Canis lupus familiaris: one gene and its partner. The protein of the gene in region 1 purifies or fractionates together with the protein of each later gene. This does not show direct contact. Links are inferred from orthologs where the notes say so. Each region holds a gene or a part of one and is shown on either strand. Other genes may lie near its edges.

The links.
Region 2: the proteins of CPSF3 (region 1) and CSTF2 purify together in Homo sapiens (affinity purification with mass spectrometry; 3 studies listed by BioGRID and IntAct, with this or other methods). This does not show direct contact. The link is inferred for Canis lupus familiaris from reciprocal best matches to the Homo sapiens genes CPSF3 and CSTF2.

The regions. Positions count from the first base shown.
Region 1 is NC_049238.1:6,561,221-6,565,042, forward strand, and holds part of CPSF3 (cleavage and polyadenylation specificity factor subunit 3), read left to right. Parts: intron 1-364; coding exon 365-540; intron 541-1,558; coding exon 1,559-1,717; intron 1,718-2,827; coding exon 2,828-2,974; intron 2,975-3,822. UniProt on the Homo sapiens protein: Component of the cleavage and polyadenylation specificity factor (CPSF) complex that plays a key role in pre-mRNA 3'-end formation, recognizing the AAUAAA signal sequence and interacting with poly(A) polymerase and other factors to bring about cleavage and poly(A) addition.
Region 2 is NC_049260.1:75,175,548-75,179,369, forward strand, and holds part of CSTF2 (cleavage stimulation factor subunit 2), read left to right. Parts: intron 1-77; coding exon 78-164; intron 165-544; coding exon 545-686; intron 687-1,650; coding exon 1,651-1,826; intron 1,827-2,368; coding exon 2,369-2,661; intron 2,662-3,822. UniProt on the Homo sapiens protein: One of the multiple factors required for polyadenylation and 3'-end cleavage of mammalian pre-mRNAs. This subunit is directly involved in the binding to pre-mRNAs.

The DNA of each region.
Region 1 (3,822 bases):
TGCACAGCAGTGTCATTAAATGTGGCTTACCCTTAACCGTGTAATGACTACTGCAGCCGTGGCTGACAGGTTGAATCAATTGTTCTGTGCTTGTAATTACAAATTGTACTTCTCACACTCCAGGGGGTTCCAAACCTTTTATCTTTGCTATTAACACTTAAATTAGTAATTTATAGAAATTGTGAGATAGAGAAATATGTATATATGTGGCTGTGTGTATACGTACTGTTTTATATATACATAGTCACATGCTTTATTTCTTGGTTGTCTGAATTTCTTAAAATCAGTTACATGTATCATTTATTATTTGAACTATTTACCCCACATCACAAAACGAAATTTGTTTCTTATAAAATCTCTCTAGATGAGTATTGGCAGAACCACCCAGAACTCCATGATATCCCCATATACTACGCATCGTCTTTGGCCAAGAAGTGCATGGCGGTGTACCAGACATATGTAAATGCCATGAATGACAAAATCCGCAAACAGATCAACATCAATAATCCCTTTGTTTTCAAGCACATTAGTAACCTCAAGGTGAGTGCCGAGGAAGGAAGCTGACGGACCCGTAAACACAGAGTCCATAGTGCTCTTAGCTGCCTGCCATTGATTTGGGGCCAGTCCTTCTTGCTGAGGTCTCACTGTTTCTCTAGCAGGCACCATTTTTCTGCCTGAAAACAAAAATCTGGTAACTGGCATACTTTTCTGCTGAAACAGATTTCACCACTTGTTCCAACTCTCCATACATTCTCAGTATTTACGCTTGCTGATTTAGTTGGGTCTCTCTGCCATAGGAACAGGAAGTCCTGATGAAAAAAAATCTTACATCACATATTAAGTTTTTCTATTCTTGCTCAGACCTAATCATCTTTCTGATTTGCCTTGCAAATTCCACGTATGAAAATTTTCATATGTTTACTTTTGTAGAACATTCAATACAGTCTGATTTCCTTTTGTTAAAAAATAGTTTTAACAGAAGTATTGTTTTATTAAAACTAATGCTTTAATCTTAATAAATAATGCCTCCAAATAATTCAAGCTATAAGTCCTCTTCCAGTTATAAATGGGCTTTGTTTATTATTATTTTCTAAATTAGTTGCTTAAGAATTAGAGCCAGATTTTCCCTAGAAACAATGTTAAACTTTTTTGGTTAGATTTTTAAGTAGCTTAAAATATTCATGAAGTATGCAAGGCTATTGTGAGCAGGAGAATTCTTTTAGAGTTCTATCTTGGACAGATAGGAAGCCATTTGACTCTTACTTTTTCCTGCCTGCCTAGCAATAAAAATGGTCCTAATAGTCCATTAATTCTGGTAGAAGGTTTAAAAGGTCAGCGTGAGCTAATTGCCTTCTATCACTTTGTTCTCCTTTCATTCCTAGCCTAAATTGTTTAGGAACTTAGATATCAGACTTAAAATGTTTATCACTAGTCTTGAGGCCCTTTCAGTAGTGTGATTAATCTTTTCACCTAGCTTTTTGTTATTCTTTAAAAACAAGGAATGCCTTGCCAAACCCTGGTACTTAGCATTCCTCTACCATTCCTTTTTCTCTCTTAGAGCATGGATCATTTTGATGACATTGGTCCCAGCGTCGTGATGGCCTCCCCGGGCATGATGCAGAGTGGCTTATCCAGAGAGCTCTTTGAAAGCTGGTGCACAGATAAGAGGAACGGCGTCATTATAGCAGGGTACTGTGTGGAAGGGACACTTGCCAAGGTCAGCCATGGTCTTAGACCACCATGTTATTCCTAATCAGAATTGCCAAGGTGGCTCAGTGAAGCCTAAGGATCACCCATCTGGTCGCAGTAAAAACTATGGAAAGGAACCCGTTTGAGACCAATACAAAAACACAGACAACCCTCATTCACAGAAGAAGTTTGCAAATATGTGTTCTCTTGAAAAGTCACATGTGTCTGGGTTGATTGCCTATCTTCTTGTTGATACAAAACGGTTGATGTTAACTCTTGAGGACATTTCCTACAAATTGCAGGAAATAGGTGCTGAGCTCCAGAAGCAGTTTCTGAGCATCTAATCATCACATCCTCTTATCTCTTCTTTCTAGAACTTGTCTTATTTTTTTAAATACGTTATGATTCCCCATTTTTTTTACTACTTTAGTGTATTCTCTAAGTCACACAGGCAACCTTGGCTGTGATTTAAAATAGATTTCCAGGGATCCCTGGGTGGCGCAGCGGTTTGGCGCCTGCCTTTGGCCCAGGGCGCGATCCTGGAGACCCGGGATCGAATCCCACGTCAGGCTCCCGGTGCATGGAGCCTGCTTCTCCCTCTGCCTGTGTCTCTGCCTCTCTCTCTCTCTCTGTGACTATCATAAATAAATAAATAAATAAATAAATAAATAAATAAATAAATAAATAATAAAAAATAAATAATAAATAAATAAATAAATAAATAAATAAATAAATAAATAATAAATAAATAAATAAATAAATAAATAAATAAATAAATAAATAAATAATAGATTTCCAGAATAGAAGCACATCTGTCTGAAAGCGACTTTCTAGAACAGGAGAATAGCTGGGAATACAAGTTTGCCTTTCTGGTCATAAGTTACAGTTGCCACTTCCTATGTTCCAAATACATTGAATTTTAGCTAACCTGCTTACCTTCCTGATAAAATATTTGCTTGACCAAGAACTTAAGTATTTGATATTTACTGAGTCCATTGTTAAAACGCTTTGTGTGCTAACAGTCCCGAATTTAACGTAAAAGTTTTTGGCTGCAGTAACAAATAGAAAATGTGCCTTTTCTCTTCTAATTGGGTAGTTTATTTGTTTTGTTTCTTTTATTTTTGTTTCTGTTTAACAGCATATCATGTCTGAGCCAGAAGAGATCACTACCATGTCTGGACAGAAGCTACCACTGAAAATGTCTGTTGATTACATTTCTTTCTCTGCTCACACAGATTACCAGCAAACCAGTGAATTTATTCGTGCTTTGAAACCGCCTCATGTGGTTAGTCTATGAATTTGATTTATGACATTAAAGGGGAAGAAAACATACCCAAGAGACTGTAGCCGATTTGGTTTTCAAATCAAACGCTGCCTGTCATTAGGGTAGCTCTTCCCCAGGGGCCACTGCCTGCACCTGGACCTGACCTTTGCAGCTCCCTGCTGAGTTAGGAAGGTGTGCGCTCTGCTTGTCTCCACTTACCTGGGGTCCCTCATCAGCTCCCCCAACCCCAACTCAGGGCTCTTTCTGTCATTTTTTGCTGCCTCCCCAATAACTTAAGACCACAGGCTTTGCTGGTGACTGTTTTGAATCCCAGTTCCATCCCTCACTTGCTGGGTAACCCTGGGCAAGTTACTTAACTTCTCCCTGCCCTATTTGTAAAAAGGGATAATAATGCCTCATAAGGCAGCTGTGAGAAAGGGATGAGAGAACATATATCTAAAGCATGTAATATGGTGCCTGGCATAGAGTAAATGCTCAATAATAGGGAAAGAAGAGAAAGACAAATCACATAATAGTAAAAATCAAAGATCCAAATAGATCTGAAATCACATAGCTCCTTACTGATGTGTTTTGTTTATATTTTTTAAGTTTTATGTAATAACAAAAATAAGTTACATTTTGGTGAGGTTGGAGAGGGGATAAGAGAAGAAAGCTAGAAAAAAAAATAGGTATTTTTAATCAACAGAACACTCAGGGAACAAGGGTGTAGGGGGGGGAAGCAGATGGAGTGCCCTTTCTGAATGTATTAAAAAGGATGTTTAGAGGAAATAGCCTTTTGCTGGTTTTTTCATTGTGGGAAAATATATATAATATATAAGTTGCCATATATAAGTTCTATGGAAGAAGCA
Region 2 (3,822 bases), on another chromosome or scaffold:
AGGGTAGTGTTTTGGGCTTTTGTTTTTAAATTTTTTCCTGTTGGGGCCACAAGCCTAAGATTGACCTCTTCACACAGGGCAGAGAACATGGATGATATGGGCATCTGTCCGAGGCTGTACTCCCTCCCTACTGGTGTCAGGAGGCTTGGATGGAATAGCAGTCTGTAAGGAGACAGCAGGTTCTTGCAGAGCCATGGCAGTGTTCACAAATGCCAAGACCCTACCTCTCTTTTGTGACTCTGGTCCTTGAACTAAGGTTGATTATATAAGGAAAACCAGGAGCATAAGTTTCTACAGGTTGAAGTGCTAGTCCTTGGCAGGTTGCCCCCCACTTTGCTCTTTATATAATTCCATCCATACCTCTGACATGGCACAGATTCTGCCTACACCCTGCTTCTGTTCTTGAGCTGCAAGAGGAGTCTGCTGTGGTGAGGTTTCACCCACTCTCAGGTGTCTGAATTATGTTGTCAGTGGTATATAGAGTCATTTCTTGTTTCCTCATGTGTCCTTCACAACAGTAACTCCCTGTTTGTTTCCCTGTCAGTGCCGATGCAGGACCCCAGAGCAGCTATGCAGCGTGGGCCCTTGCCTGCCAACGTCCCAACCCCTCGAGGTTTACTAGGAGATGCTCCAAATGACCCACGTGGAGGCACTTTACTCTCTGTAACTGGAGAGGTAGAGCCTAGGTAAGCACTAACATAGAAAGGAAAGATTGAGGGAATCTTTCTCGATTTGAGAACACAGTCTTTCTGTACCTATTTGCCTACTTCAAAAGGTAAGTAAATATTCACGGCCGCTGTCCAAGGCTAAGCACTTCTCCTTGGACAGAACTATGTAGTTGATTATGTCATTTTGAATGAACCATGGCTACTCCATCTTTAGAAATTTGAAATTCTCAGGTGCCTGGGTGGCTTAGTCAAGTGTCTGCCTTCGGCTCAGGTCATGATCCCAGGATCCTGGGATTGAGTGCCGCATCGAGCTTCCTGCTCCGTGTGGAGCCTGCTTCTCCCTCTCCCTCTGCCTGCCATTCTGCCTGCTTGTGCTCTCTCTTTCTCTGTCAAATAAATAAATAAAATCTTTAAAAAAAAGAAATTGGAAATTCTAACACATATCTAAACAGGAAAATCTTCTTGCTTATCAGTAGTAGTAATAATAATAACAATAATATAATGATGATTGATATTAATGAGGATTATGCCTCTGACTACTGTGAGTACTTAGATTATTTCATTAAATCCACATTGACAGTAATATCAGTCCTATTTTACAGATAAACTGAGGCATAGAGAAGTCAAATAAATGTGCTCAAGATTACACAGCTAATAAGTGATAAAGCTTAGATTTGAACCCATACAGTAACCCGTGTTCTTAAGCACTGTACTCCATATTCATTCTGTACAATGGATGTCCATAACCTCCTCCTTAATTATGAGTGCCCTGACCAAATATAAAATTCCAGGATATACAGGTTTATTTATCCATAGCTGTTGTTTTGTTTTGTTTTGTTTTTTACCTATTTGGTGTTAATCCTCTTAGCATTTGTAACTAATGTTAGCATCAGTTCTTTGATTTTTTTTTCTTACTGATCTCCTGGTTGACACTTTTTTTGTTGTTCTATTTTAAAATATAACTTTTTTTCTCCATCTCTAGAGGTTACTTGGGACCGCCTCATCAGGGTCCACCCATGCACCATGTCCCTGGCCATGACAACCGTGGCCCACCCCCACATGAGATGAGGGGAGGACCATTAACTGAGCCCAGACCTCTAATGGCCGAGCCAAGAGGACCCATGCTAGATCAGAGGGGTCCACCCTTGGATGGCAGAGGTAAGGGGAGACCACATCACAAGGCTGACTGCTGGTTGTGGGCTGATAATAAACCCAGCTATCTTAGGTTCTAATCTTGGATAAAAGAAGGCTAGGGCAATGGGGTTGACAAACATTTTTAAGATTTATCTGTAAAACTGAGACAGAAAGCAGTCCCTGAACAACACATTTGAACTACGCAGGTCGATTTATACATATTTTTTTTATAAATACAGTACAGTACTATAAAGGTATTTTCTCTTTTTTACAATTTTCTTAATAACATTCTCTTTCCTCTAGCTTATTTTGTTGTAAGAATGCAGAACATAATATACAAAACACGTATCAATCAACTGTTTATGTTTTTGGTAAGGCTTACCATCAGCAGTAGGTTGTTAATAGTTAACTTTTGGGGGAGTACTCCAATCCTTGCCTTGTAAAAGGGTCATCTGTAGTTGGGGGGAGATGTGACTGGAGAAATAAATTTCTATCTTTGACTATTGGTTCTTTTTGCCATAAAGATGAGTAGTTACACAGTGGTTTTCTTACAACTTTCTTTATAGGCGGTAGAGATCCCCGAGGCATAGATGCACGAGGGATGGAGGCACGAGCCATGGAGGCTAGAGGATTAGATGCCAGAGGATTGGAGGCTCGAGCAATGGAAGCCCGTGCGATGGAGGCCCGTGCAATGGAGGCCCGTGCAATGGAGGCCCGTGCAATGGAAGTCAGAGGGATAGAGGCCAGAAGTATGGATGCAAGGGGCCCAGTCCCTGGCCCTAGAGGCCCTATGCCTAGTGGAATCCAGGGTCCCAGTCCAATTAACATGGGGGCAGTTGGCCCCCAGGGATCCAGACAGGTATGTGCAATACTTCTTGCTTCTATATGAAATCTTGATCTATTCAGGAATTAACTATTGAAGCTGACTGTTACTGCTTTCCGACTTGGACTATTTCTCAGCTTGTTAAAACAGGAAGATTAGAAACTCCCTTCCTCTAGTTTCACTGTCCCTTAAGATGGTTATTTTCTGGCCACCATTGTAGCAGCTTTGTCCTACCATTTAAGGAACTCTTCCATTCAGAGCAGAGCACCCACAGATTTAGGAGGCAGCGTGTGTATCACTAGAATCTAGGCATGGATATTTGAAAAAACCTCCCCCAGGTGATTCTAATGTACAACCGTAAGAGCTGCATTAGAGCATGTGAAGAGCTGTTAGTAGTCATTTCGATAATCTTAGGTTTGCAGAAACCTATTTTAATTTGCTTTCATCACACAGCCTAAGTGGACAGTGGAATATGAAAGGCAGTTTTTACTAATGTTCACCTTAAAACCTGTGGAACTGAATTCTTATCTCTTCTTTCTTCTTATCTGGCTCTCTCTAGCTATGTGTATGTATATGGTGATCTCTGATTATCTGTGTGTTGTTATCTCCTCCCTCTTCAAACACAATTGGTTGTGGGGAGATGGTATGTGAGTGTCTTCCCTGAATTTTTACGTGCTGGCACCTTCAGCTCCCTCTTGCCCCTGCCAACCTTCCTTTTTCTGTATGTCTTCCTCCTTCCTCTACCATATGTTATGTGTCTTGGTCCTGTGTGTGTGTGTGTGTGTGTGTGTGTGTGTGTGTGTGTGTAAGGGTGGGGGGAGAGTGTCACTGGAATGGAATATGTCAGTCATCCAGTTCTCTCATTTCATAGGTTTGGAAACTGAGATCCAAGAATTCAGCTGACTTGTCCAAATTCACACAACTAAAAAGTGACAGAGCAAGGACTAGAACCCGCTATTTTTTTTCACTGTACCACTCTGTCCTGTTAGCTGCACATTATGTATGTGTATGTGTGTGTCTACCTCCCCCTCTTTAATAGGAAATATGAATATGTTGTTTCCTGGTATGTGTAAAAGAAAACTGTTTTCTATTTTTTTTCCAAGTTGTGTTTTTTAAACATGTGTTTGTGGGCCTTGATGTTTATTCTGCCCTCTATGATCAGTAGCTTTGTAATAAGAATGGGTTTTATGCATCTAT